Linked DNA regions of Canis lupus familiaris. The protein of the gene in region 6 interacts with the protein of the main gene of each other region in a pairwise test. Links are inferred from orthologs where the notes say so. Each region holds a gene or a part of one and is shown on either strand. Other genes may lie near its edges.

What was found.
Region 1: the proteins of GADD45G (region 6) and REL interact in binary tests that used the Homo sapiens proteins (3 or more experiments, as listed by UniProt). The two-hybrid records come from large-scale screens. The link is inferred for Canis lupus familiaris from reciprocal best matches to the Homo sapiens genes GADD45G and REL.
Region 2: the proteins of GADD45G (region 6) and AFAP1L1 interact in binary tests that used the Homo sapiens proteins (3 or more experiments, as listed by UniProt). The two-hybrid records come from large-scale screens. The link is inferred for Canis lupus familiaris from reciprocal best matches to the Homo sapiens genes GADD45G and AFAP1L1.
Region 3: the proteins of GADD45G (region 6) and ARPC5L interact in binary tests that used the Homo sapiens proteins (3 or more experiments, as listed by UniProt). The link is inferred for Canis lupus familiaris from reciprocal best matches to the Homo sapiens genes GADD45G and ARPC5L.
Region 4: the proteins of GADD45G (region 6) and TSNAX interact in binary tests that used the Homo sapiens proteins (3 or more experiments, as listed by UniProt). The two-hybrid records come from large-scale screens. The link is inferred for Canis lupus familiaris from reciprocal best matches to the Homo sapiens genes GADD45G and TSNAX.
Region 5: the proteins of GADD45G (region 6) and LRIF1 interact in binary tests that used the Homo sapiens proteins (3 or more experiments, as listed by UniProt). The link is inferred for Canis lupus familiaris from reciprocal best matches to the Homo sapiens genes GADD45G and LRIF1.
Region 7: the proteins of GADD45G (region 6) and EEF1A1 interact in a two-hybrid assay, tested with the Homo sapiens proteins (2 studies listed by BioGRID and IntAct). The link is inferred for Canis lupus familiaris from reciprocal best matches to the Homo sapiens genes GADD45G and EEF1A1.

What each region holds. Positions count from the first base shown.
Region 1 is NC_049231.1:62,284,008-62,287,507, reverse strand, and holds part of REL (proto-oncogene c-Rel), read right to left. Parts: intron 127-3,500; coding exon 1-126. UniProt on the Homo sapiens protein: Proto-oncogene that may play a role in differentiation and lymphopoiesis.
Region 2 is NC_049225.1:60,553,896-60,557,395, forward strand, and holds part of AFAP1L1 (actin filament-associated protein 1-like 1), read right to left. Parts: intron 3,079-3,500; coding exon 2,953-3,078; intron 2,304-2,952; coding exon 2,092-2,303; intron 35-2,091; coding exon 1-34. UniProt on the Homo sapiens protein: May be involved in podosome and invadosome formation.
Region 3 is NC_049230.1:58,232,479-58,236,662, forward strand, and holds the start of ARPC5L (actin-related protein 2/3 complex subunit 5-like protein), read right to left. Parts: upstream 2,801-4,184; 5' UTR 2,638-2,800; coding exon 2,489-2,637; intron 1-2,488. UniProt on the Homo sapiens protein: May function as component of the Arp2/3 complex which is involved in regulation of actin polymerization and together with an activating nucleation-promoting factor (NPF) mediates the formation of branched actin networks.
Region 4 is NC_049225.1:8,342,384-8,346,622, reverse strand, and holds the start of TSNAX (translin-associated protein X), read left to right. Parts: upstream 1-1,439; 5' UTR 1,440-1,623; coding exon 1,624-1,639; intron 1,640-2,128; coding exon 2,129-2,233; intron 2,234-4,239.
Region 5 is NC_049227.1:41,480,201-41,484,187, reverse strand, and holds the start of LRIF1 (ligand-dependent nuclear receptor-interacting factor 1), read right to left. Parts: upstream 2,801-3,987; 5' UTR 2,398-2,800; coding exon 2,330-2,397; intron 1-2,329. UniProt on the Homo sapiens protein: Together with SMCHD1, involved in chromosome X inactivation in females by promoting the compaction of heterochromatin.
Region 6 is NC_049222.1:97,451,825-97,455,274, reverse strand, and holds GADD45G (growth arrest and DNA damage-inducible protein GADD45 gamma), read left to right. Parts: upstream 1-1,424; 5' UTR 1,425-1,531; coding exon 1,532-1,584; intron 1,585-1,804; coding exon 1,805-1,906; intron 1,907-2,010; coding exon 2,011-2,224; intron 2,225-2,314; coding exon 2,315-2,425; 3' UTR 2,426-2,950; downstream 2,951-3,450. UniProt on the Homo sapiens protein: Involved in the regulation of growth and apoptosis. Mediates activation of stress-responsive MTK1/MEKK4 MAPKKK.
Region 7 is NC_049233.1:35,820,480-35,824,518, reverse strand, and holds the start of EEF1A1 (elongation factor 1-alpha 1), read left to right. Parts: upstream 1-1,239; intron 1,240-1,354; coding exon of another isoform or gene 1,355-1,463; intron 1,464-1,526; coding exon of another isoform or gene 1,527-1,627; intron 1,628-2,173; 5' UTR 2,174-2,207; coding exon 2,208-2,351; intron 2,352-2,614; coding exon 2,615-2,794; intron 2,795-2,908; coding exon 2,909-3,205; intron 3,206-3,306; coding exon 3,307-3,457; intron 3,458-3,543; coding exon 3,544-3,800; intron 3,801-3,878; coding exon 3,879-4,039. Other genes in the region: uncharacterized protein LOC119874198, read right to left, coding at 337-582, 909-1,239, 1,355-1,463, 1,527-1,627. UniProt on the Homo sapiens protein: Translation elongation factor that catalyzes the GTP-dependent binding of aminoacyl-tRNA (aa-tRNA) to the A-site of ribosomes during the elongation phase of protein synthesis.

The DNA.
Region 1 (3,500 bases), on a different chromosome or scaffold from region 6:
TTCGGTTGTTGTCTGTGCTGTGCTCCCCTGGAATGCTCCCTGCTGATCGCCCTTCACACTTGTATCTAAAACGCATGCCCCTCTGCCTGGGCTGTTCAATTATCTCTATACATGGGTTATACCCACCTGAAAATTTAAGAAAGGGTGAGGAAGAGATTAGGATAGCAGTAATAATGGATGTAACCATTTTTGTTTTTTGTTTCTTTTTTTGCAAAATAGCAGACTAAAAAATTTTCCCTCCCAATATTAAGTAATAAGGTTGAAATGTAATTACCCAAGATTGAGTGGTAAAGGCACTTCTTCTCCCATTCATATTGAGCTCCTGTACAGTGTTAACACAAATCACTCAAATCATATTTATTGGTTAGCACTTTATCATTTAATATCCATAGCTAATGCCAGTGTGAAGTTCTGAGATACCCACTTCTTACATCAGACCAAGTAAAAGGATTTCCCTCAAGATTCCCCCAGAAGGGTCAAGAAGATAGTCTTAAGAAGTACAATATCCTACTCCAAAAGTGAGTTGATCTACTTGATTTTACATTAAACTTTTAATAGTGGACTAAAAGACTGCTAATTGAAAATGAAAATGCATTTAAATCCTTGCAGAAGGATATTTTTTTTGTATCTCCACTGGAATCTTAAAGGATTGATAAATAGTACATCAAAACAAGTTTCAGAAGTCTTCATTTTAAGCTCAACAGAATTTTCAATCAGTTCCATCTAAATCTTTACTAAAGCAGAAGACACAACAGAGGAAAAGAAATTATTTACTTTCTAATGGCAAATGTAATTCCAAATATGCAACTTTAGAATGAACTGATCTATACAACATGGATGAATCCTATATGTTATACACCTGAAATTAATGTAACATTGTGTCAACTATACTCCAATTTATTTTTAATCTTTTTTAAAAAAATTTTTATTTATTTATTCATGAGAGACAGAGACAGAGAGGCAGAGACACAGGCAGAGGGAGAAGCGGAAAAAAAAATAAAAAAATAAAAAGAGGGAGAAGTGGGCTCCATGTAGGGAGCCTGATATAGGACTTGATCCAGGCATTCCAGGATCACACCCTGAGCTGAAGGCAGATGCCCAACCGCTGAGCCACCCAGGTGTCCCTATACTCCAATTTAAAAAAAGTTATGCTGATTGAAAGAAGCTAGACCAAAAAGAGCACATCTCGTAAGGATTCCATTTATATAAAACTCTAGAATACGTAAACTAATCTATAATCAAAAAAAGCAGATCACTGATTGCCTAAGAACAGGGGTGTGGAATGGATGGGGAAACTCAGGGGATGGTGGATATGTTAATTATCTTGATTGTGATGATGATTTATTTTAAGGTTGCATTCATATGTCAAAAGTTATAAAATTGCAAACTTTAAACATGTGCAATTTATTATATATTATTTATATGTCAATGAAGTGGTCTAAAGTACATGCATCTTTACCCCTTATTATCCATACTGTTGAAATCACGAGTTCAGTGAAGACATTCAAGGGTGCTTTCAAGTAGCGTACTTGGCAACCTGTCTTTAAGGGGTGTGAAGATGTCTCCCATTAAAAAAAAAAAACAACCACCATTTCCTTCCCTCCATTGCTTTAGTGATTTCTAAATTCCCACAATTAGATAATCCATTTCTTTGACTAAAGACTTATCCTGTCTTAGAATGCAAGCAAATCTTTAGAAAGTCTAACACAATGGGTCTTATTGGTACCGTGTGAGGAAGGGGACTTTTGAGTCCTACTTAGCCATATCTTAATAATGAGGAGCCTGGAAATGTTACCTTCTAAGTCTCCTATTCGAAAAAATGGGAATAATAATAACAGCACCTACTACATAGGGGCTGTTGTGAGGATTCGAGGTAGTGTGTGTTCAGTTCTTATCAAGTATCATGCCTATTAGGAACTCAGTAAATGTTGTCTTATTATTTCAGATGCTTTCTTGAAAATTTAAAGCGATACCACGAAGGTTTAACAACAACTGGTACTTGCAAGAATGTTACAGGCACACAACATAAATTATTAGAATACAGAAGAGTCCAACAGAACAAAATTTTGTTTATGCTAACAAAATTGTGCATAAATGATAGAGCAAAAGAGTCAGGCATGCCTGTATCAAAGGAAAAAGAGTCAATGAAGCAAAAAGATGCAGAAGAGAAGAGGGAATTCTAAGGAAAGGGAACAGTGCGTCCAAAGATGTGGCAGCACAGAAGAGGGAGAGTTTAAATGACCAATGAAGCCACAGTGCGAGTGGAGTACACTTCTCCCTTAGAACCCAAAGCCAGAGTACATATCTACAAATCTGTACAGAGTACATTAGGGATCTGGATTTCATTCCATGAGTGACTAAGAGTCAATGAATGGTTTCACGTAGGGGAATCATACAATTAGACTGACATTTTAGAATAAGAATTCTAGTGGCAGTGGACAGATGGAAAAGAAAGGAGGAAGTATGATGATGGGTTTAGAGGCTGTTACATACAGTCCTGTGGGCAATGATGAGGGCATGTCCGACATATAGTGTGATAACAGGAATGAAGGATTATTTAAATAAAATTGGCAGTTCCTGGTGACAGACTGAACATTAGGGTTAGGAGCAAGTAAAGAATCACTGAGGCTCCACAGTTCCTACTTTGGGTTACTGAGTCAAGTTACTGCTACCTTTAATTTTATTCTGTTTGGTTCAGACTCCTTCTGTTTGATTTTACTACCTATTTGTTTATACAAAAGACAGAGAGTCAGGGAAAACTGACTTTCACCTTATGACGTTCACAATACTTAATTCAATTTTACCGAAATATGTAAGGCGCACGAGTGTTTCGATATAACATATTTATATCCTTGTATATTTTGAATAACTCAAATTCACATTTCAGTGTGAATTCGAATATTTCACATCCTTATATATCGTTGCAGGCGTATTTAAAAGAAATTTTCTTCTCAATAGTTCGAAACACTCAACAGCATTTTTAAAGTAATAAATAATTTATGTGGTTGAACTAAAGGTCAAATAAATCCCTGCCCATTACTTATTTAAAGTCTTCGTGGGAAGTTGATAGAGAATTACATCATTAAGGGTAAGTGGCTAACTTTGGGGGGAAGAGTGAATAAAAGTACAGACTCATAGTGATTTTTCAAATATTTCATTGGCTACACAATCCCTCCTTAAACTACAAAGTGTTTGTGAAAAAGGTCTATAGATAAGAGAACAGAAAAGCAGTTGCTGAAAGATAAAACAATTTTTAAAGATGTAAAGTTATAAAAATGACAAATATTAGTTACTATATAGCACCTAGTACTTAAAAACCTTTGAAATCTATTCTTCCTATTGTACAGCTCTTTACTGGTAAAAAGTCTCATTATCAACCAAGTGATATTTTCTTGTAATGTTTCACATTCCCCCAAATGGAAATACTCTCCCCCTCCTCTAAATTATCATAGTATTTTGTTTATGTCAATTATTCCAAATCACTATAATTTAGGGAAGAC
Region 2 (3,500 bases), on a different chromosome or scaffold from region 6:
GATGCGGTTGCCGGTCCTTGGAGCTTTTGTAACACTGGACAGGAAGAGAAGGGGTCACCCTTCTGGACTGGAGGGCGGAGGAGGGAGATGCCCTCGCATGAAGGCTTGGGGGAGCGACCTCGACCTGCCCCCCGCTCCCCCAGCCCAACTGTGGGTACTGCGTGAAGACAGGGGCTGTGGCTATTCATCTCAGAGAAGAGAAGCCTGGAAGGGGGCGTCTTTGGACAATCTTCAGGTCTCAAGCGCCACCGAGGGGCCCCAGGGGCACCGCCATCTATTAGGAAGAGGCAGATTTTAGCACAATACTAGGAAGACCATTCTAGTCTAAAGAACCAGAGAAGAAACAAGCTGGCTTGGAAGGAAGCCAGCTCCCTGCTACTCATGTGCTACTAGCAGGAATGTGGGAGAGAGGATTCTAGCAGAGATGGACGGTTGGGCTTAGGAAGTCAACAGTTTATCAATAATGATTCTCACTTCCCGATTCTCACTATGAAGCTAGCATTACCTTGATATCAGAACCTGACAATGACACTACAAAAAAAGGAAAACGATAGGCTAATCTCAACATGGTTGCAAAAGCCCTTAAAAAACTACTTGCAAATAGAAATCCCAGACACATGGAAAAGCATACCGTATCAAGACCAAACAGGGTTTATTCTAGGATTGCAAAAGTGTATTAGCCTTCTAAAAGCCAACCCTATAATTCATCATATGAATAGAAAAAAAGGAGAAAAGCCACATATCTCAATAGAAACAGAAAAGGCATTTGGTAAAATTCTCCATGCATCTGTAACATAAATTCTCAGCAACCTAGAGATACAGAGGGGGAACTTCCTTAATGTGGCAATAAGGAGCTTCAACAAACCACTCACAGCAAATATCAGCCTTAATAGTGAATTATTGCAACTTTCCCTTTGAGATCTGGACTGACACAAGGGTGCCTGCTCTCACCACTTCTATTTACATTGTGCTGGAGATCCTAACCAATGCGGTATGTCAAGAAAAAAATGACAAACGGGATGAGAAGAAGTAAGTCATGACCTTTGGATTGGTTCTGGCCTGGGGTGAGCTTTTCACTGCTCCGGGGTGAGAAAAAGTCATGTTTCAAATGGATAGATGTTGGGTAAGGCTTGTCAACAGATTTTGGGGTAAAAGAGCTATTATTTTTTTCTGAAATTATGTCTGTATTCCTACTCTGGAATTAAAGGTACATTTTCTTTTATAAAATGATGGTGATGAGAGATGGCAAATTAAAAAAAACTAAGAAAGCAAGTTCCACAGTAAGTGCTGAATGGGCTCAATTTTAGAAAAGGCGGATATGTGGAAATATGTATATTAAAACATAACAGTGGTTAGCTCTTGGTCAATGGGATTATAGGTGGCTTTAAAAAATCACTTTTGGGGCTCCTGGGTGACTCAGTCGGTTAAGCATCTGCCTTCTGCTCAGGTCATGATCTCAAGGTCCTGGGACTGAGCCCCGTCTCTGACTCTCTGCTCAGTGGGGAGTGTGTTTCTCCTCCCTCTCCCTCTGTGTGCGTGCTTTCTCTCTTTCTCTTGTTCTCTCTCAAATAAATAAATTCTTTTTTTTTTTTAAGATTTTATTTATTTATTCATGAGAGATAGACAGAGGGAGAAGCAGGCTCCATGCAGGGAGCCCGACGTGTGCCTTGATCCCAGGTCTCCAGGATCAGGCCCTGGGCTGAAGGTGGCGCTAAACCGCTGAGCCACCCGGGCTGCCCTCAAATAAATAAAACCTTATAAAAACATTTTCATTATGTTTTTCTCCAGTTTTATACATAAACACATTTAGTTGCATAATGAAATCAATAAACATTGTTTTGAAGTGATAAAAAATTCATTCCTGGCGAAACAAAAACTTGTTAAAGTCTATGTCAGGTCTTTGAGTGTGTGTGCATGTGTGTGTGTTTACATTCTGCTCTAGTGGGAGAGCCCTTATCTCAGAAGCACTGAGCCTCTGGGCACAAAGCAAGCCCAGAGGACCTGGGGTAGATACGCCTGCACACGCACACAGAGACACACACACGTGTAAGTCCATGTGAGGCCTAGAGGCACACTTCCTCGGCCACTCACCAGGAGCTGGTCCTCCTTGATGACCGTCAGCTGCTTGGCCCACTGCCCGAAGCGCTTTTTCCGCAGCAGGAAGGCACATATCCTGCAGTCCCTCACCAGGTGCATGGAGGCCTCCTCCGAGGGCCACTGGTGCGTGGGCTGTGGCCCTTTCCCTTCCTCCTCCTCCTCATCGTAGGACTCGTAGGAGCTGCTCATTGGGTCAGAGTCATTGTCTGTAGGAGCCATGGGAAATGACCCGTTACCATGTCCTTGCCTGGGAGGCACCTTCTGACCCTTCCACTCTGGGGTTCAGGGACCAGGACTTCAGTTGTGATCATGATGATCTCTACACCCTGACACGGGTGCTGTGTTGTGTGGATTTACCAGTGGCTCTGCCATCTTGGTGACTTCACTTCTCAAAATTTCAGTTTTCTCATCAGTAAAATGGTCACAATCAATGACAGTAACTACCTCACCGGGCTCTTAGGATCAGTAACTGCAGAGCATTCAGCCCAGGGTCTGGCACTCGGTGGGTACCCTGCTTACATCAGCTATTGTCATACCCCACCATCTTTGTGTCCTTAGTCTCAGGTGATTCTCACAGCACCCAGCAAGTCCCCATTTTACAAAGAAGGCAACTGGGGGCTCACAGAGAATAAATGATTCATTCAAGGTCAGTCACCAAGGGGCAGGGCAAAGGCTAGATCCAGGGCTCCCGGTTCCATGCCAGTGGTCTTTCCACTGAACCCTGGAGTCACTGAGTACAAGGGCTGGAGGCCTCTGTGGTGACCCAGAGGGCCAGGTACACATGCATGCCAACAGTTTAGGCCAAGGTCTGCCCTCTGAGGACAGGACCATTCTGAACACCCTCCTGGCACTTACAGGAGTTCTTTAGCTCCCCATTCATCCTGGTGGCGGGGTAGCTGCTGTCTGCATCCTCGTAGTAGCCATCCATGATGGAATGGGCTGGGCTGCAGCCGTCTGTAGGGTTGGCAGAAGGAGCGGCACCTTGGAGAAAGGCAGGCAGACTGCAGGGGCTGTGGCTGGGGCAGACCCTAGACCCCTGCCCCTCCTCAGGGAAGAGAGAGTGTAGCTCCCCCTAGCTCCCGGGCCAGGATGAGGGGCCTCCTCCTCTCTGAATGTCATCTGCTTTAGCTCCCCACATGCTCTCTGCTCTTGTCATCGGCACTGCCCTGCTGGGCCCTGTCATGCCTCCAGGCCCATGTTTATGCTATTCCATGTGTTCTCTTAGCTTCTGCTAGAAAACTCCTACTCATCCTTCAATACCCAGCTCAAAGATCTTCCTTCTGACCTTCTCAGAGAACTGTCAGCACCTCCTAAGGGATCCCATAGCATTGGTGTGTGTGTGTGTGTGTGTGTGTGTGTGTGTGTGTGTGTGTGTCTTGGTCACAGCCCTGATCCCTGAACTG
Region 3 (4,184 bases), on a different chromosome or scaffold from region 6:
AACCACAGCACTGACATTTTAGACCACACAACTGATGTGAGGTCTGCATGACATGGTGTTTAGCAGCATTGTGATAATCAAAATATCTCCAAACAATGCCAAATTTCTTCAGGGGGAGGAAAAAGTGCAAAAATGTTCAAAACCACTGCTTTGGACAGATCCCTAGTCCTGAGGACCAGAAGGTTCTTCAGTGAGGAAAAAAAGGAATGAATATTTTAAAAATCCCTACAAGGTTTCAGCTCCTGTGCCAGGTGCTTTCACATGTCATCTCAATACTTCAAACAACTCTCATTTGAAAGGCGATGCATTAGAGACTCAGAGAAAGGAAACGACCTGACAAAGTCACAAAGCTAAGCTGTCTAGCTGGCCTTCAAACCCAGGTATACCCAACTCCAGAGCCAAGCTTTTTCTACATACAATCCCCTGCTGTCCCTCTACCCACATACCTCAGCTGCATGTCTAGGACAGTTGCTGTGTGCCCAGCACTGTGAAGCTTCTGCAATGTTGTTGTGATGCTCCCATGGAAGCTGTAAGGCCATGGTTCCCCTCCTTTTCACAGAAAAGGATGCTGAGGTTCAGTTAGGGTATGAGGTCATAGCACGATAGAGTGAAGTCTGCGTGGATACACGGCCCATGTTCTAGTTCATCTGTCTGAATTCCTAGCATGACTCGATTCCCTATACGGCAGTAAGAAAGGCCTTCTCCTCCCTACCTTCCCCCACTCCAACCAATCAATCTCTATCTTCACTCCTCTGGTCTCTATTCTAAGATTCCTAAAAGCCTGTTCTACAGTTTAAGTCAGTGATCTAATATTAAGTCCAATAACTGGTACATGGTAGGGACTCAGTAAATACCAGTTCCTTCTTCCTCCCTCCCTGGGCTCCACAATTGCCAGGATCTCAGTTCTCACCTGCTAACCTCCTTTTCCCCAATCCCAAGAGATATACTGTCCATGGTAACAAGGTTTCTGACACTGTCACTAGTGGAGAAACTGCCACCAACTGGATGTGCTAAACCTAGGCCTCCAAGCAGCCTCAAGGAACCAATCACTAGTCCGAGGGCGTACCAAGAGATGACCTTCAACAAGTCCCTGCAGCACCAGGACCAAGACAGCAGATAACCAGACCTTGTTCTCCCCATCTGTGGATGGTACTGGGCCAGAAGCCTGACGTTGGAGCCTTTTTGGTACTGCCTGCCCATGAGCCAGGTCCTGCACCAGAATGCGGAATCAATCTTCCCTCATGAGGGTCATCCTCATGACCCCATTTCACCAATGGGGTAAATAAGATGATCCTGATAGCACAGAAAATACGAGTTTGAATCCTCACCTTCGAAAATACATTCCTGTTCAAACAAAGAAAGTCTGAAGGTTTTTGTTTCAAAGGCACATTGGCGGAACACTGCAGGACTCCTCCCTAAGGTAGTCCATGGGCCTGACTTCCCAAGCTGAGTCAACTGATTAAACACCCAGAACCTGATTTATACACACAGGAGCCTCCAACCCTGCCCTGGCAAGTGTGGGGGAGGGGTAGGCACTTCCCGTAACACCATTTGAATAAAGAAAAATCCTTCCTGTGAGAGTAAGTCAGTTTCCTGTGCTCAAACGGCTAAGGGACTAAGCAGGCTGTGACAACCACCTCTATTTTTAATCTTGTTTTCTAAATGCTTGCTTTCTGCGGCCACAAGAATAGTCACTTCCAGTCATGAGGCTCTACTTTTACATTTCACTTGATGCTGTCCGGTTTTTCTTAGCTCTAAACTACTAGCTTTTCCCCACTGCTTCCTGCACAAGAAGGCTATTTCGGGGAAGGAGCCAAAAGTCACTTGTTGAACGTGGCTAAGACATCAGGGTCCACAGCCCAAGGTGTTCACAGGAAACAAAACAGGTGAAAAAGAGTGGCATGAAGTTGGAGGGTCAGGCTGATTCTGGGGTGGGAGACGCACAGTCTCCCTAAGGCTGCAGCCCTCGTTCTCCCTTGGGTCCTTCCTACCCCTCGGCCACCCCCCACCTAACTTCGTGGGGTGACTGTGCCCGGGAGCCGTCTAAGGCAGCTCAATTACTCAGCGGGGCTCCCCTCGGCCCCTCCCGCCCATCTGGCGCGAGAACGGCCCCATTTCCTGCAAGGGAGGGATGGAGGGAGGGGGAGCCCGCGGAACGGTCAGTCTGAGGGGACGAGGGGCAGAAGGGGAGTAAAGAGGCCAGGCCTCGCGGAGGAGGGAGGGGCCTGCGGGGCTGCAGGTGCGTCGGGAGTAGCCGGCGGGTCCAGCCGGGTCCAGGGGCCGCGCTCCTGAAGGAGGCTCCGAAGGCCGAGCCCGGACGAGGGGACTGGAGCGGCCGCGTCAGAGGGAAGGGAGGACACATGCACTGAGGGAACCTGAGAGGAGCCGGGTCGGGAGGCACTTGGGAAACGGACCTCAGGGGCCGGGAAGTAGCGGGGTAGGAGGCCGGCCTGAGGGACACCCGGGCCGCTGCGCTGGGTAAGGATATTGCCGCAGAAGGCCATCCACCTCGCCAGGGTCCGGGCCTGGCTCGGCCGCCGCCGCCGCCGCCTCCTCCTGTTCGTCCACGAATTTGTTCTCGTCAAACTCGTCGATGTCCACCCGACGGAAGCGCGAGGACAGCGTGTTCCGGGCCATGGCGGGGACTCGGCGCCCGCTCAGCCGGCTCCGCTCCGGGTCCGACCTCCGATCTACTCCGCTCGGAACCGGCTCAGGATCGGGGGCGGGAAGCGGCCGCCCGGCGCCTCCTCCAGCTCCTCCGCGCGCAGACGCCGCCGCCCGCCCACTTCCGCGCTAGGCCGGAACCGGAAGTGCCGGCGGGCAGGAGGGGCGGAGCCTGCCGGCGGCGGGGCCGGAAGCGCGGGAGAGTCCCCCGGTTAGTTACTACCGGTAGCGCCGCGTCCGGCTCTCAGCTTCGGGAACCTCATTCTTGCCATCCGAGCAGCGGGCACTACGTCCCCACTCGGGCCTAGCGTCGTGGACGCCATAACTGTGCTCGGCTTCCTTTCCGAACCCGAGGAGACCCTGGCCCTGCAAGGGGCCTGCGCGGACTCGGCCGCAGAAGCGGGGTGGAGCCATCACTGCCCAGACTGAGGCGGCTCGGGCACCCCCGCAAGTGTAATGGTCACCTGACCTGGCAGGTGGGGGCGAGGAGAGAAAGAGGACCCTGAGGTCACCATCCTGACTTAAAGGGCGAGGTCCTGGAGGCTAAGAAGTCATTTCCGGCTGGAGAGGCATATCCTGGTGGGAAGCTGAGTCACCTAAGTGTGAGATGGGAAGAGACGGGACCGGGTGCCGAAGGGTAGGGGCAAGAACGACTCTGTGGTTCCAGGATTGGGTGCCTGGGCAGTGGCCTGCGGGATTCTGTTAATAGGCCTTAACCGTGGGATGCTTGGGTGGCTCAGCGGTCGAGCGTCTGCCTTCCGCCCAAGGCCTGATCCCGGAGTACCAGGAACCAGCCCCACACCACATCGGCCCCTGCGTGGAGCCTGCTTCTCCCTCTGCCTATGTCTCTGCCACTCTCTGTGTGTCTCTCATGAATAAATAAATTAAAATCTTTATTAAAAAATCGGCCTTAACCTTAGATTAAATTGGATCTTTGTTTTCATATAATTTTCCTTTTAAAAGATTTTAAGTAATCTCTACCCCCATCATGGGGCTGGAATTTACAACCCTGAGATCAAAAGTCACATGATGTACAAACAGCCAGGTCCCCTGAATTGTACTTTTTTTTTTTTTTTTTTTTTAATGATAGTCACACAGAGAGAGAGAAAGAGGCAGAGACACAGGCAGAGGGAGAAGCAGGCTCCATGCAGGGAGCCCGACGTGGGACTCAATCCCGGGTCTCCAGGATCACACCCTGGGCTGAAGGCAGGCGCCAAACCGCTGCGCCACCCAGGGATCCCGAATTGTACTCTTTTTAATAAAGGCCAAGGCTTAATGAAGTATGACTCGTTTTTATTGTTTCAAATACTTCTCATTGAATTGTGTCTACAGATCAAAAAATTATTGCCAGATTATGATGCTACCTAATTTTGGGTGCTAAAGATACAGACTTAGGCAGCCCTGGTGGTCCAGCGGTTTAGCGCCGCCTTCAGCCCAGGGCGTGATCCTGGAGTCCCGGGATCCAGTCCCACGTTGGGCTCTCTTCATGGAGCCTGCTTCTCCCTCTGCCTATGTCTCTG
Region 4 (4,239 bases), on a different chromosome or scaffold from region 6:
ATATTCAGAGAAAGTGTAATAAAACATACTTGTGTTTTCCCCACTCGGCCTACGCCACCCAATTTGCCAAAGCCCTACCCTGAGTTTATACCTAGAAGATGCTGGATTGCTACTTCGTTACCCATCTTGGCGATGGGAACCTCATCCTTGAACAAACACTTATAGCGGCTTTACAAGAGCTGTGGATCCCGGAGGCGCGGGTGGGAGGTTATAAAAGGTTGGAAGGCCTACACCTGGGTGGCTCAGTGGTTGAGCGCCTGCCTTTGGCTCAGGTCACCTCTCTCTCTCTCTCACGAATAAATAAAATCATATATATATGTATATATATATATATAAATATATAATCTAATAAGATATGGCAGTACCTGCCCCAAATAAAAAGCTCACAACTTAGTTGTGCGCACCTGTTAGCCTGTTATTACCAACCTCTCTCTCTTTTTTGGAGCGTGAGGTTGGGAGAAGGGTATGAAAGCTAATATTCTCTTTTTTAAAAAAAAGATTTTATTTATTCACGAAAGACACAGGGAGAGAGGCAGAGACAGGCAGAGGGAGAAGCAGCTCCCTGCGGGAAGCTGGATGCGGGACTCCATCCCAGGACTCTGGGATCCCAACCTGAGCCGAAGACAGACGCTGAACCGCTGCCCCACCCAGGTGCCCCTGAAAGCTAACATTTAATCGAGCAGGTACTATGCGAAAGGACACTCTTCTATGAACTTTAGTATTAACTCATTTGGCCCTCGACTAAGCGTATGACGCAGGTAGTATTCCATCCCTGTTTCACAGGTAAAGAAACTGAGGACAGTGGCTAACTGCCCTCGAGGTCACCCAGCCCCGCGGGGCCAGGGGACGCCGAGCGCAGCGAGCGCGCGGAGGCCGCGGTGCAGAAGGCGATGACAGGCGAGGGCCCGGGGCGGAGCACAGAGGGCGGGCTTTACCTTCGTCCGAACGCCAAGGCCGCCTGCTCACTGATTCGTGTCTCCCCATCACTTTGCCTGCTGGCCCCACAGCCAGGAATGGAAAGTTTAAACTCCCAGCTCCGTAAGATTCGGCCTGGATCCTGAGAAGACCCTCCCGTAGGCGATGGACGGCTCGCTCCCTCCTCACAGCCAGGTCGGGAGAGCAGCAAGGGGCTGACTCCGGCGGGCGAACTACAACCCCCATCACTCCCCGCGCGGAAGGCTGGGTCCACGCGAAGGGAACGCGGGGGTGTTCCCAAAGTGCCTTGAGGAAAAACAAAAAAAAAAATCACGAACACCTCCCGCCGTTTTTCCATCTTCACACAGGCCTCGCTTCCATCATCCGTTTTGATGGAAGCGCAGTGAGGCCTGTAGAGTTCGCTTTGTCTTCAGGCACAGCAGAGGGCAGCCGGGACGACGGCGCGCGGGCGCGAGAGCCCCGGGGCGCGCGGGGCGGAGCCTGCGGCGGCGGGGCCGGGGCGCAGGCCGGAAGTGTGCGAGGACGGAGGGAGAGGCGTGAGTGGCTGCGGGCGTGCGCTTCCGGCCAGTGCGTCGACGTCGGCCGGCCGCGGAGGGCTCCTCGGCAGGCTCTTCGGCCAGCACCTTACGCACCCCGCTGGCTCGCAGGCCTTGGGTCTCCGCTCATCTCGCCGTAGGCCGTGACGACATGAGCAGCAAAGAAGGTGGCGTCCTCGGCGGCCCTGGGCGTTCTTTATTCAAAGGGGGAGGATCTCCCTCCTTTTTGTCGGATTTTCCACTTCGCTTCCCGCTTGAGGGATTGCCCTCTCCCCATGCAGGCTCGGGGGCGGGGTGGGGGGGAGGGGCGGCCCCGGAGATTTCCTGGCCACCTCGGGCCTATGCACACCTGGCCATTTCTTAAATCCTCGAGCTGTGTCTTTGATTTTAGTTTGGTCATTGCTCCACCTTGTGCCAGATCAGGAAAGCCACTGGTGGAGGCCCCGGGTGAGGTGAGCTTAGGATTGGGGGGTGGGGGCGGGGGTGGGGGTGGGGGGAATAAAAAGGCAGGGCTGCTGCTGCGTGAGTCGGCCGAGCAAGCGAGCAAGCGAGCAAGCGTCTCGGGCCAGGGCCCCTGGGCGCGGGTGTGAGAGCGAGGCAGGGGCCAGCTCTGGTGCAAAAGCCCTACCCAACTGTTTTCTCCTTCTCTACGTAAGGATCAGGAGGGTTCAGGAAAAGGAAGCACGACAATTTCCCACATAACCAGAGAAGAGAAGGGAAGGATGTTAATTCATCTTCACCTGTGATGTTGGCCTTCAAATGTAAGTTTTCTGTCATGGAGGTTGGCGAAGGGAAGAGAGCGAGAGAGGTGGTAGCAAGGAGCGTTTAGGCATGTTGTGCTGCACACACCGTTAGGACGTGAGCTGTGCCGGTGTGACCCTTGTACCTTCTTCCCCCAGAGGTTAGCTGTGGTGCTGGGTCTGCCATTAAAGTCGAGGGTACTCAGGTGTTGGCTTTTTTTTTTTTTTTCCTGTAAGGGTTCTACAGGTAAATATTAGCATCAGAAATGCCACATCACTAAAAATTACTGCGTCCCCGACATACAAATATGTATCAGCGATATAGATCTGTCAGCTGTATGTATACATATAGATTTAATTAGTTCACTTTGTGTTTTTTTTTTTAATTATTTATTTATTTATGATAGTCACAGAGAGAGAGAGAGGCAGAGACACAGGCAGAGGGAGAAGCAGGCTCCATGCACCGGGAGCCCGACGTGGGATTCGATCCCGGGTCTCCAGGATCCCGCCCTGGGCCAAAGGCAGGCGCCAAACCGCTGCGCCACCCAGGGATCCCTAATTAGTTCACTTTGAAGCGTATATTTTGGTTTTGGCTCCTAAGCTAGAATCTTGAAGACCAGGATTAAGTTTTTTGTTGTGACTGTCACACCTCGCACAGAGCGGGACCTTTTCTATTAATAAGTCATATACATGCCACAGATATACGGCACATACATAATGTCTGTGTGTGTATGTGTTATTCACAGGCCTCCTTTTATTTTTTTATTTTATTTTATTTTTTAAAGATTTTATTTGTTTATTCATGAGAGAGAGGCAGAGACATAGAGGGGGAAGCAGGCTCTCTGTGGGGAGTCTGATGTGGAACTCCATCCCAGGACCCCGGGATCATGACCCGAGCTGAAGCATATGGGATGCTCAATCACTGGGCCACCCAGGTGTCCCTCACAATCCTCTTATTAACTTGGTTGAGTTGCTCCTCATTTCAAAAGAAAGCATAAAACAAAAATCTCCTTCCTGTCATCCTGTATCCACCCTCCTACACCTTACAGTTAGAGCCTGAGAGTGCCTGAGCTGTTGATTCTCACTCTCGGTCATCTGAAGACCTGAGTGGGCCTGGAGGATCCACCTCAGTTGACCAGTCGGGCCTTCTGCCAACAACCAGCTCTCCGTCCTCACAGGAAGCTACTTGAGTGGCCTAATGTTATGGCAGCTGGCTTCCTCGATCAAAGCAAGGAGGAAACCAGTCTTCTTAGGTCCTGATCTCAGACACAATACGCTGTTGCTTTTGCTACATTCTGTTTGTTAGAGATGAGGCAGTTTAAATAACTCTGCTTCATTTTTATTTTTTTATTTAAAAAATTTTTTTTTTAAGATTTTATTTATTTATGAGAGACAGAGAGAGAGAGAGGCAGAGACACAGGCAGAGGGAGATGCAGGCTCCATGAAGGAAGCCCGACATGGGACTCGATCCCGGGTCTCCAGGATCATAACCTGGACTGAAGGCGGCGCTAAACTGCTTAGCCATCCAGGCTGCCCTCTGCTTCATTTTTAAAGGGAACAAATTAGGTTCCACCTTTTGAAGGGAGTCCTAAATAATTTGTGGGTATATTTTAAAATCATGGCACCTACATTGATCTTTAGATGTATAAAACAACTTGTAATTGCTTAGTGTATTGATACAATGAATGGTATACACAGTGCAAAAACTGCAGTGGGCCAGGGTTTCCCCATCATTGTACTCTGACACACCATATACAGAGCTGCTTGTTTCCAAGCATATGTTGCTTTTGTATGTTTCTGTCTGCGTTTTCACACATAGTTCTTTAAGCTCAAAATTTCTTCTAATTTGCTAGTTCCATTGTCCATCTGGTGAACCATGGTTTCCTTCATAACCTAGTTCACATGTCTTCTTGGAAGTCTTTCTGACTTTTTTTGTCAAGCAAATTTATTGACAGACATTGCATTTATTCATTATCCATTCATCCATTTGGTCATTAAATATTTATTGAGCATCTACTGTGTTCTAG
Region 5 (3,987 bases), on a different chromosome or scaffold from region 6:
AGATTAGTTCTGATTCTTATACTTTATGCCATGATGAACTAGACACATGTTAAACAATAAACCTGTAATGCAATCGTGAAAAGCTTTACAAAAGGAAAGCAGCAGTAACTCGAGAAAAATCCAAGCATCTACAGAAAGTAAAAATCATACTCATTTTAAGTTCATGAAAATGATTTAGTACCATCAAAATTATCAAAAAATCAAGAAACTGTGCTTCCAATTAAAGAGCTGAAATTAATCAAATGATTCATAAAATTATACTTGCAAGTCATGAAGATTATTACTTACAAAACAGAACAGAATCAAACACGCAAGCGATAACCAAAATAAGAGTCAAATGGCATCAAAAAAACATCTGGTAATGTCCAGAACATGTGATGTCAAATCTCAGTGATTTGAAGAAATAAATGCATTTGAAGATGATGTACACAATTCATAAACCAATGAGTTAACGAACTCCCAATGACTTACACAGGTAAGTAACCAAAACCTAATTCATTTTGTAAAGTTTTTAAAAATGCCAAATACATATAGCCGAAGGCTTAGAAATTGGGTCAAAGAGTTAAAGTCACAATAAATAAAAAGGTTAGGTTCTTATACTATCTTATTTCTAACATTGCAGAACAATGCATTCTTAAAACAAATTGTGTTAAGTTACACGTCATCAAATACCCAGGCCAAAACAAAGGTAGAAGAAATGAACAACCATGAGAAAGTATTTTTACTTTTGCATTATCTATACAGAACACTACATCTGCTTCTCCTCCTAGCTTCCACCAAAAGTAAACCAAAACGTTATACGTACACACAAGCTGGCTCTGTTTACGATTTGAATCCCAATGGTTCTTGGCAGCTCTTCAATGCTGTTTTGGCTCACCGCATTTAGTGACCGTTTCTTCTTAAGATGCCGTGCATGCTTTTTTAGTCCTTCTTACAATTCCATTTTGCATATACTTGTAATTAAAATAAACCTTACTGAGCTAAAATTTGTAGAGAAATAAACTCGTATTCTCATAATAATAGCTAACACATAAGTACTGCTTTTTTTTTTTTTCTATACTAAGTATTCTACATATACTCATTCTTTTAACTCTAAAAATATCTCTAGGCGCTCTAATTTACTGGAAAGGAGACTGGAGAAAGGCACTTGGTCTCACGAACTGTTAACTGTCAAAGCTAGGATTAAATTTAGGCAGCTTGATGTTCTTCAAACATAAATCCTCTTCCATGAATTCTACGCTCAATTTCCATCTTTCTTCACATTTTCCTTCCGCAGACACCAATTAAGTTTTTTCTCACCACTTACTATATCCACTAACCATGGAGTCTACAACTTAAAATAGTCGATCTTCCCTAACAGTTCTGTTCCCCTTTTATTTCATGTTGACTAACAGAACTTTAAAAAAAATTGACTTAGTGATAAACTGTTTTGGAAATGTGCAACCACGTACGCCTTTTTAAAAGAAATCCTGGAATCTCCCTATGTCAAATAGGGAGATATCCAACGAGAGAGGGCGTTCTCATTACAGCTGCTTCAAAGACTCTGTTCCCAACCACCGATCTCACGTGGCAATCATTCTACTTTTCTTCCTTTCCATATAAAACTACTATTTAAAATTTACAAACAAAATCCAGGGCCGCCTGAGTGGCTCGGTGGTGGAGCGCCTGCCTTCGGCTCAGGGTGAGAGCCCGGTCCCGGGATCGAGGTCCGCATGGGGCTCCCCGCAGGGAGCCTGCTTCTCCCTCTGCCTGGGTCTCTAACTCTCTGTGTCTCTCATGAATAAGCAAAATCCTTTTTAAAAAAGAAAAGATCCATTCCCTCAGACGAGATCAATTTTTCAGGTTGTGGTTTCATATCCTAAGCATCCCCTGCACACATTCTTCCTTTCCTTCTCACTCCTCTGAAGGAACAGCCGTCCGCACGGGAGGGCCTGCGCCACCTGGGCCGCACCATCTGGGCCGCACCACCTGGGCGGCACCTGCTGGTCCGCGCGCGCGCTGCGTGTTTTCCGGCGAGTGCGCGAGAACCTTCCAGAAGGCGTCCGTCCACGCGGGCGCGCCGGCCATGTTGGTCTTCCTCTCCCGTGGAGAGCTGCTCCGTCGCAGGAGTCGTGCGGGGCCGGGGCGGGCCGAGGCTGCACGTTTCCAGGAGGGGCGCGCTCGAGCGCTCGGAGGGCTCCAGGGCCGTGAGCGCCCCGCCGGCCGGCGCTCGCCCCCAAGGCGCGCCCACTGCGGGGCCAGGGCGCCCGGAGGAGAAGGCCGCCTGGGCACCCTGCTAAGAGGCGGGCCGGGGCAGGCGTGTTGAGGGGGAGTCGCAACCAGTACTTACCACTGCGAGGCGTTGCCCGAGCTTTCCTCTGCGGGTTTCAGGAAGACCCTCTGGAGGTGATTGGACATTTTAGAGGGGCGGGAGGGGCCGGCACCTCCAGGGAAGTGGGCAACGAGGGGCCGAGGGCCTCCCGAGGGGCGAGACCCGGAGCGACCCGGTGTTGGGCTGGACGGCGCCCAACGGGTTCGCTGCGAAAGGAGGACCCCAGCCTTCGGAAGGAGGCGACGCGGCTGCCAGAAACCGGAAGGACCGCAGCGGCTGACGACGCGGCCCGGCCCCGGCCTCTGGGAGGAGCGGCCCGAGTCTCCGCCCCCCGCGAGCCGACGGCGTCGCGCCAGAGCCAATCGGAGTCGACGCGGGAGGCGGGGCCTTAATGGCACCGCCCCCAGCAGCGCTGGGTCCGTGGGGAAGACCGCGCCGGACGGGCTCGGCCGACCCCGCCCACCGCAGCCGCCAGCCGGGCCCAGCTCAGTCAGCGGCTTCCGGCATCGTCACATCCGGTCGCCGAGGTGACTGGCTCGCTAAAGCACCGCCCCGATGCTACGATCCAATCGCAGAGGACGTTTGGTGTCTCTTCTTCCGGATCAACGAACGAATCACGAGAGGATATGCTCAAGATGCCTACGCAAAATAAAACGCTTCCGGGGTCATTGGTAAATTTTCTGCCAATGCGCTCGCCGCTCCTGCACGTTTCTCTTTCCCGCCAGCGCCGGAGGAGACGTCGGCGGCGGCTCTGGACTAGTGCCTGACGCTGTGCGCGCCTCTTAGACGCCTGCCCGTGGGCAGCGCTCTGTTTATTGCCGCTTCCTGCGCTTTCTCGTTCATTTCCTCTTTCTTGAAGTTTTGCCTCTCTTCTTAACCTGACCTTTCCCTCCACCGCGCGTTCATCTCATGCCTCGGTCAAAGTCATCGTCAGAGTTAATCGGCTGGTTCTCTGAAAGTTCGCCCTCCATAGACATCTTTTTTCCTCTTCACTTGGCTCTCCGGAGAAATTCTTTTCAGAAGTCTCCCGGCTCCCGGTGTTGAATCCTGCATCCGAGAGACCGGCCAAGCCCCTGGTGGAAGGGCGGGCGGTGCCGTTCAGCCGGGGCTGCAGGGAGGCGGCGGCAGGAGCGGCCGACGAGGGCGTCTTATGAGGGACAGGCGGTGGAAGTGTGAACTGGCGCATACTGACTGTCCGGCCTCGGGGGCCGAGTCCCCTGGCCCCTCATCCCCTAGCTCCGTGGTAAGCGCAGTGAAACGACAGTGTTCCGACAGGTTAAGAGAAAGCACGACTTCCTGAGCGCGGTGCTCTGTGGTAGTTTCGGTGGCACAGAATCCTGCGTGTGTAGCTGGCGTCTGTCTTTCAGTCGAGTATGTCCCGCACTAAAAGGGGGCGAGGTGCTCAGCCCTTCATAGGGGCTGGGTTTCCGTCATTCTCTGATCTGAATAAGTTGCCCATTCTTGGCTTCTTCCCTGCTTCATCATTTATTTCTTACCTTCCACACTCAATTCTCCTCCTACCCATCATCTCTTCCTATGTACGAAAACTCATTGTCACAGGTTGGTTTCCCTGGGAAACGGACTTTGTCCGGTGTATTTTGGCGTGAGGGAAGTTTATCAGGGATCAGTATAGGGGAGGGGAGGGAAAGGAAGTGAAGCTGGGAAGACGGAGTAGT
Region 6 (3,450 bases):
GAGGTCTCCGAGTGCTGGCTTACCTGCCCCAGAGCGGTGACACCGCAGCACTGTTCACCTCCTCTAGGTTTATTACGATATAATTGGAAAACAAGCTTTCATACATGTATGTTTGGGTAATTTCAAACGTTTCAAAACAGCAAGAAATACGGGCTCTGCCTCCATCAGGCCTGGGTCGGAGTGTCCTTTTGCCCTCCCCTCCGCGGGCAGGTTCTGCAGCCCTTGCTGCGGCTTCCCTGAGCGCGCAGGTGGGATGGGGCGCCGCAGACCCGCCAGGGCCGTTGGGTGACCGCAGGGGCCCAGGCTGGCACCCTAGGAGGCAGGGCCGCAGGGGCCCAGGCTGGCACCCTAGGAGGCAATGCAAGTGGGGGCGGGGTGCCCCGTGTTTCTGGACAGCCTGCAGATGGCGCCCCGGGAAAGGGATTGAGAGCTGCGTTCTTCAAGCTGCGTAGACTGTGCGGCAGCCGCTGCGAGGACCCCGGGGGCAGTGGGGGGGAGGGTGGGGGCGGAATTACATGCACAGGGGCCTGGGGTGCAGCGGCCCCCGTGCCGGGGAGGAGCACCAAGGGGGCGCGGGAGCGACACGTGGCCCGCCCCCCACGCGCCGGGCAGCCCCGCGACCCCCACGCGCGGCGGGGCCCTAGCCACCCCACCCTGCGGCAGGTGGGTAGTGTCGCTATGAAGAGAAAGCCTCGATTGTCCCTCTTGCAAACCGCCACACGCCAGACCTCCGCTATTGTGCTTTCTCCATAGAAATGCAAACGAGCCGCGTGCGCCGGCCGCAATCTGCTCGCGCGTCCCAGCGCCCCGCGGCGCTCGGCTGCGGGCGGGGAGGTGGGCCCGGACCCTCCGGCGCGGCGGGGTCCCGGCGCGGGGCGTGCGGCGAGGCCTCCGGGCGCGCTCCGGTCGTGCGGCGGCTGGAGGGGGCTGTGCCCCTGGGCCTTTGGCTTGCAAGCGGAAAGCCCGCGCTGGCTATTTTTACTTGAAATTCCGGTTGAAAAACAACGGTCTTACAAACTTCCAATTACAAGTAAAGAAAAAAATAGAAACGTAGTCACAAAAATACATGCAAAAAAAAAAAAAAAAAAGAAATCTTCAGTTTCCCCAAAGGTGCATTTCATAAAGTGCTGCGTCTTATTATATTAGCAAGCTAAGGTTTTTTTTTTTTAACTTTTTCCTTTTAAGGACTTGAAACAACAAAAAGGCGAGTGAAATCTGCAGGCTCCCGTCTGCCTGGTAACACGCCGACAAAAGCGGCAGATTTGAGGCATTGTCATCCCCCGCACCCCTCCCCACGTGGCCTTCTGGCACGAGCCGCGGCGGCCGCCTCATTTGCATCAGAAAGCGGGCGCCGGCCAATGGGCGCGCAGCCTCGGGCCAGCTGGCGGCGCCCGGGCTCGGCCTATATAAGGGGGCGCGGCGCGCCGGGGCGCACTCGCCAGCCGTGCGCTCCCCGCTCCTCGGCCTCCCGCCTCTCCCGCGTCCGCGCCGCTCGCTCCTTGCGTGGATACTAGCTGTTCCCGACCGCACCATGACTCTGGAGGAGATCCGAGGCCAAGACACGGTCCCCGAGAGCACCGCCAGGTGGGTCGGCGCGGGGCGCAGGACGTCTCGGCGCGCGGGGCGCCTGTGCCCGTGCGGGCTGCAGCGGGTCGGGCGGCCGCCGCGGGGGCCCGCCGGGATGGGGAGCTCGCTGGGCGGGGGCTGGGGCACCGACGGGGGTGCGTCCCCGGGGCCGGGTCACCGCAGGGGCTGGGGATCCCTGGCCGCTCCCCGCGCGCTCACGGCGCTGGCTCGTCCGCAGGATGCAGGGCGCCGGGAAAGCACTCCACGAGCTGCTGCTGTCCGCGCAGCGCCAGGGCTGCCTCACCGCCGGCGTCTATGAGTCCGCCAAAGTCCTGAATGTGTGAGTGTGGACGCGGCCCCGGTGGGGTGACCGGGGGCGGCGGCGGCGGCGGGGGCGCCCCGGGCTCGCCGCCCTGCCCTCACCGCCCCCCCCCTCCCGCGCAGGGACCCCGACAACGTGACCTTCTGCGTGCTGGCCGCCGACGCGGAGGACGAGGGCGACATCGCGCTTCAGATCCACTTCACCCTGATCCAGGCGTTCTGCTGCGAGAACGACATAGACATCGTGCGCGTGGGCGACGTGCAGAGGCTGGCGGCGATCGTGGGCGCGGGCGACGAGGCGGCCGCCCCGGGGGACCTGCACTGCATCCTCATCTCGGTGAGTGTGGCCTCGCCCCAGCGCCGCCCGCCCCGCCGCGCCGCGCCGCGCCAGCGGCCGGCCAGGCTGACCTCTGCGCCCTCCCCGCAGAACCCCAATGAGGACGCGTGGAAGGACCCCGCCTTGGAGAAGCTCAGCGTGTTCTGCGAGGAGAGCCGCAGCGTCAACGACTGGGTGCCCAGTATCACCCTCCCCGAGTGACAGCGCGGAGGGGGCCTTGGTCTGATCGACGACGTGGTGACACCGGGGCGCCTAGCGCGCGGCTGGCTCTGTGGATGCGCCCTCGGAGCGCGCGGGCCCGCAGTGCTGCGCGGAGAGCGGCGAGGAGGGCGGCCCCTGCAGGAGGGGCCCGGCGGCGGGGGCGCGGGGGCGCGGGGGCGGGCTGGCCCCCAGCCCGGGACTCCGCGAGTGTGGACTCCGCGAGTGTGGGCGGCGGCGGCCTGCCCGGGAAGGCCGGAGGCGGGCCGTGGGCCCCGGGCCGGGAAGGCCGGACCGGCCGGGCGGGCGTGACTCAGCAGCCTGCGCTCTGCGCAGGAAGGAGGGGAGAGGCCAGGCAGGCGAGGCCTGGACTCCGGACTCTGGACTCGGACAGTTACAGGAGCTCTGACCCACTGAGCGGCCTGCACCGCTGCACCAAGCGGACGGGGCGATGCTCCGGTTTCTAAAGGATTCTGCTGCTGCAGCTTTGGAGTTTTGTTTTTTAAACAATAAACTAAGTGAAACAGACTTCTTCTCTTTCTTGAGGGTAGAGGGTCCCTGTCCGAGGGGAGGCGGTGTGCAGGGCCCCAGGCGGTCCCGGAAGGCCCGGCGGGGTGACCCGGCGGGCACCTACTCCGTCCTCCCGCGGGGCTGAGTGCGCGCGGAGTGGGGGAGGGGACGCTGGCGAGAACTTGAGCCCTGCCCCCAGTTCTCTTTTTAGGGAGAGACTTTTGAACTTGCAAGACAGGAGCACGCTTGCGATAAGACATCAGCGCAGGAGCTCAAGGCTGGCCCTCCAGCCCGATAACAGCCGCCTCTGCCTCCCCTCCCCCTCCCCCTCCCCCTCCCCGGCCCGCAGCCCCCTCCCTCCCGACAGCTGCTTATCAGAACAGCTTGCAGGATGCAGGCGGCGCCCCCCTTCACAATGGGTCCTGCCTTCTGCAGCGCTGCCCTTTGTGGTCCCAGGGGATGGTGGTGGCTGGCTCTCAGGAACCTTTTCCTCTGAAAGGCGGGCGCTGACGGCAGTG
Region 7 (4,039 bases), on a different chromosome or scaffold from region 6:
CCATTTAACAGAAAATGAACTAATTTATTTAAATGGGCTAGGCCACCTTTAAGAAGCAGTGATTCGCAGCAAGTGTTGGGGATAGGAAATTGGGTGGATAAGCTTGCTGAAGCCGTAGATCTTAGTTTCTACTTGAGATCATGCGGAAAGACTGAATTTGAAAAATTCTTTTTAGGTTGCTCATGCTAGCAATCAAATGAGTGTACACTGTAGAAAAAATGTACCACGAGAGTAGACACACATAGGGTCTTTCTATAACGTAATGAAACTAGAGTTAAAAGGCAGACTGTGGGATTGAAATCTATTCTGAACTGAAGAACTAGACGTCTGGAGTACCATATGGGGTGAACGTGTGACTCGGGCTTCGGTAAAAGCAGCGGGCTCGGACTGGAACAAGCCAAAAGGCTAGCCCAAGAGCACATTCGTCCGGGTCACGGCCACCGAGTTGAAACCCTTGCGGATTCTCCGGCTGTGAAGGCGGCCCCTCGGGTCCCTCGCTGCCCTGGGAGCCCGGGCCTTGTACTCTCCAGCCCCGAGAGGAAGAGAAGGCAGGGGCGAGGGAGGAGCCAGCCCAGGGCGGACCTGCGACGAGCGGAGGAAGCGGCTCAAAGGGGCAGTCCTGGACCTTGGAGAGGACCAGGTTAAGAACTGGAGGTATACTGCGGAGGGAAGGCGTACTCCAATCGCCACACCATCTTTGCAGTTAAACCAGGAACCGTAGAGGGCAGATTCAGTACTTCCCCGCAGGGCCGCCTCCTCGCCCCCCCGCCCGCCCCTTCAGCTGGAGCTGAGAGTAATTCATACAAAGGAGGACTCGCTTCAGCCTCGGGGAATCCCAGGGACCGTCGTTAAACTCTCACTAACATAGAACGAGCGGAAAGCTCGTCCCCGCCTCCCCACCCACTCACTCTCGCCGTCATCGGGGTCAAGAGGAGCATGCGCGAGGAGATGTGCGCTCTTTAGTGGGCTGAGCGCACATCGCCCACGGTCCCCGAGCAGTAGGGGGAGGGGATGGCGACCGAACCGGTGCCTGATGGAGTTGGCGCGGGGTAAACTGGGAAAGTGGTGTCGTGTGCTGGCTCCGCCCTCTTCCCCGAGGGTGGGGGAGGACCGTATATAAGTGCCGTAGCCGCCTTGAACGTTCTTTTTCGCAACGGGTTTGCCGCCAGAACACAGGTGAGTGCCGGGTGTGGCTCCCGCGGGCCTGGCCTCTTTGAGCTGCCAGCGGCCCTCGCGTGCCTTTTACAACGGCCGCGCCACCGAGCCACTTTACGATGTTCTTGACCCCGAATTTCGGATTGTGAGTGGGTGGGAAGGTTCCAGGCCTTGCGCCTTTTTTTAGGACCCCTTTTGCCTCGTGGTTGGTTTGAGGCCTGGCTTGGGTGTTGTGGCGGCCGCGTGCGAATTCCGCCGCACCTTCTTGCCTGCCCTCGTACAGTGGTTTAAGCCTCCAGACGTTTGACCTACCAAAAGAAGGCCGCTATGGTTTTCTCCGTCGAGATGGTTGAGCGGAGGTTGGTCAGGACTTGAACGGGGTGGGCTTTTCCGCGGTCGTCGCGTTCTTGGGGTGTGGGGCCGCCGCGAGGCGCGGAGGGCGGCGACGAGGCCCGCTCGTCCCGGCGCACATGTCCGACGAGGCGGGGAAGGCCCACGAGCCGTGGGCGCCGCGTCGGACGCGGGAGAGTCCCGTGGAGTGGGCCGGGCGGCTCTGGTGCCGGGCCTCGCGCCGCGATGTACCGTCCTACGCCGGGCGGAGAGGCCGGCCCGCTCGGCACCAGTTGCGTGCGCGGAAAGATGGCCGCTCTCCGGCCCTGCTGCAGGCAGCTCAAAATGGAGGACGCGGCGGCCCGGGAGAGCGGGCGGGTGAGTCACCCACACAAAGGAAAAGGGCCTTTCCCTGTTAGGCCGCTGCTTCCTGTGACCCTACGGTGTACCGAACGCCGTCTTGGCACCTCCATTCCGCCTCAACGCCTTACAAGCAGGCCTTCCCCGGAGGGGGGAGGGGATTTTATGCGGTGGAGTTAACCCCACGCTTGGTGGGTGGAGACGAGAGTTGGGCCAGCTTGGCCCTGGTTGTAATTCTTGGAATTTGGTCTCTGCGAGTTTGGTCGTGGCTTATTTTCAAGCCTCCGGGACAGTAGTTAAAAGGGTTTGTTCCTACCCTAAAATTTAGGTGTCGTGAAAACCACCGCTAAACCTAAACCAAAATGGGAAAGGAGAAGACTCACATCAACATCGTCGTCATTGGACACGTAGATTCGGGCAAGTCTACCACTACTGGCCATCTGATCTACAAATGTGGTGGGATCGACAAAAGAACTATCGAAAAATTTGAGAAGGAGGCTGCTGAGGTTGGTATACTAACTTAATGAGAGATCGTTAAAAAAAAGTCGGCCAGTGTCAACTTCCCCAAAACTAGTTACTAGTCTATCAGAATCTGCTGCTTGTGGTAGATTGTTTGTGCTTGCTGAAGAGTTTTTTATCTATGTAACTTTGGGAGATAGAACTACCTAACTGTAAAGTGGAATCCGCATTTCTGCTTAAGCAGGAGTTAGGGATTTCAAGTTGGAAGTTTGTGTTTAAGTTACCAAGTAACCATTCTTAATCCTTACAGATGGGAAAAGGCTCCTTCAAGTATGCCTGGGTCTTGGATAAACTGAAAGCTGAACGTGAACGTGGTATCACCATTGATATCTCCCTGTGGAAATTCGAGACCAGCAAGTATTACGTGACCATCATTGATGCCCCAGGACACAGAGACTTTATCAAAAACATGATTACAGGCACATCTCAGGTTTGTAGGATTACTTGAAAATAACTGTAGGCTTGGGTTTTGTATGGGAAAAAAGGGGGAGTTCATCTTTTTGAGGAACATTTATTTAACAGGATGTCTTTTTGTCTTTTAAAGGCTGACTGTGCTGTCCTGATTGTTGCTGCTGGTGTTGGTGAATTTGAAGCAGGTATCTCCAAGAATGGGCAGACCCGTGAGCATGCCCTTCTGGCTTACACACTGGGTGTAAAACAACTAATTGTTGGTGTTAACAAAATGGATTCCACTGAACCACCCTACAGCCAGAAGAGATACGAGGAAATCGTTAAAGAAGTCAGCACCTACATTAAGAAAATTGGCTACAACCCCGACACAGTAGCATTTGTGCCAATTTCTGGTTGGAATGGTGACAACATGCTGGAGCCAAGTGCTAACGTAAGTGACTTCAAGGCTTTGAGGAAGTGATAGAAGAGGCATATGTTGACACTAAATGACAACAGTTTGGGGAATGCTAATGGACAATCTTGTTTTTTTAGATGCCTTGGTTCAAGGGATGGAAAGTCACCCGTAAAGATGGGAATGCCAGCGGAACCACACTGCTTGAAGCCCTGGATTGCATTCTGCCACCAACTCGTCCAACTGATAAGCCCTTGCGTCTGCCTCTCCAAGACGTCTACAAAATTGGTGGTAAGTTGAACATTGCCATTTAAAAATACGATTTATGGATTGTTCTTCACAGAAGGTATCTGACACGATGCTTCTAAATATTTTAGGTATTGGTACTGTCCCAGTGGGTCGAGTGGAGACTGGTGTTCTTAAGCCTGGTATGGTGGTCACCTTTGCTCCAGTCAATGTTACAACTGAAGTAAAGTCTGTTGAAATGCACCATGAAGCTTTGAGTGAGGCTCTTCCTGGGGACAATGTGGGCTTCAATGTCAAGAACGTATCTGTCAAAGATGTTCGTCGTGGCAATGTGGCTGGTGACAGCAAAAATGACCCACCAATGGAAGCAGCTGGCTTCACAGCTCAGGTAACACACTTAAGAGTGGCAATGTTCTCTTTGCTAGATCCTGTTTGAAATGTATTAAATGCAATTTTTTCCTCCAAGGTGATTATCCTGAACCATCCAGGCCAAATCAGTGCTGGATATGCACCTGTGCTGGATTGTCACACAGCTCACATTGCCTGCAAGTTTGCTGAGCTGAAGGAAAAGATAGATCGTCGTTCTGGAAAGAAGCTGGAAGATGGTCCCAAGTTCTTGAAATCTGG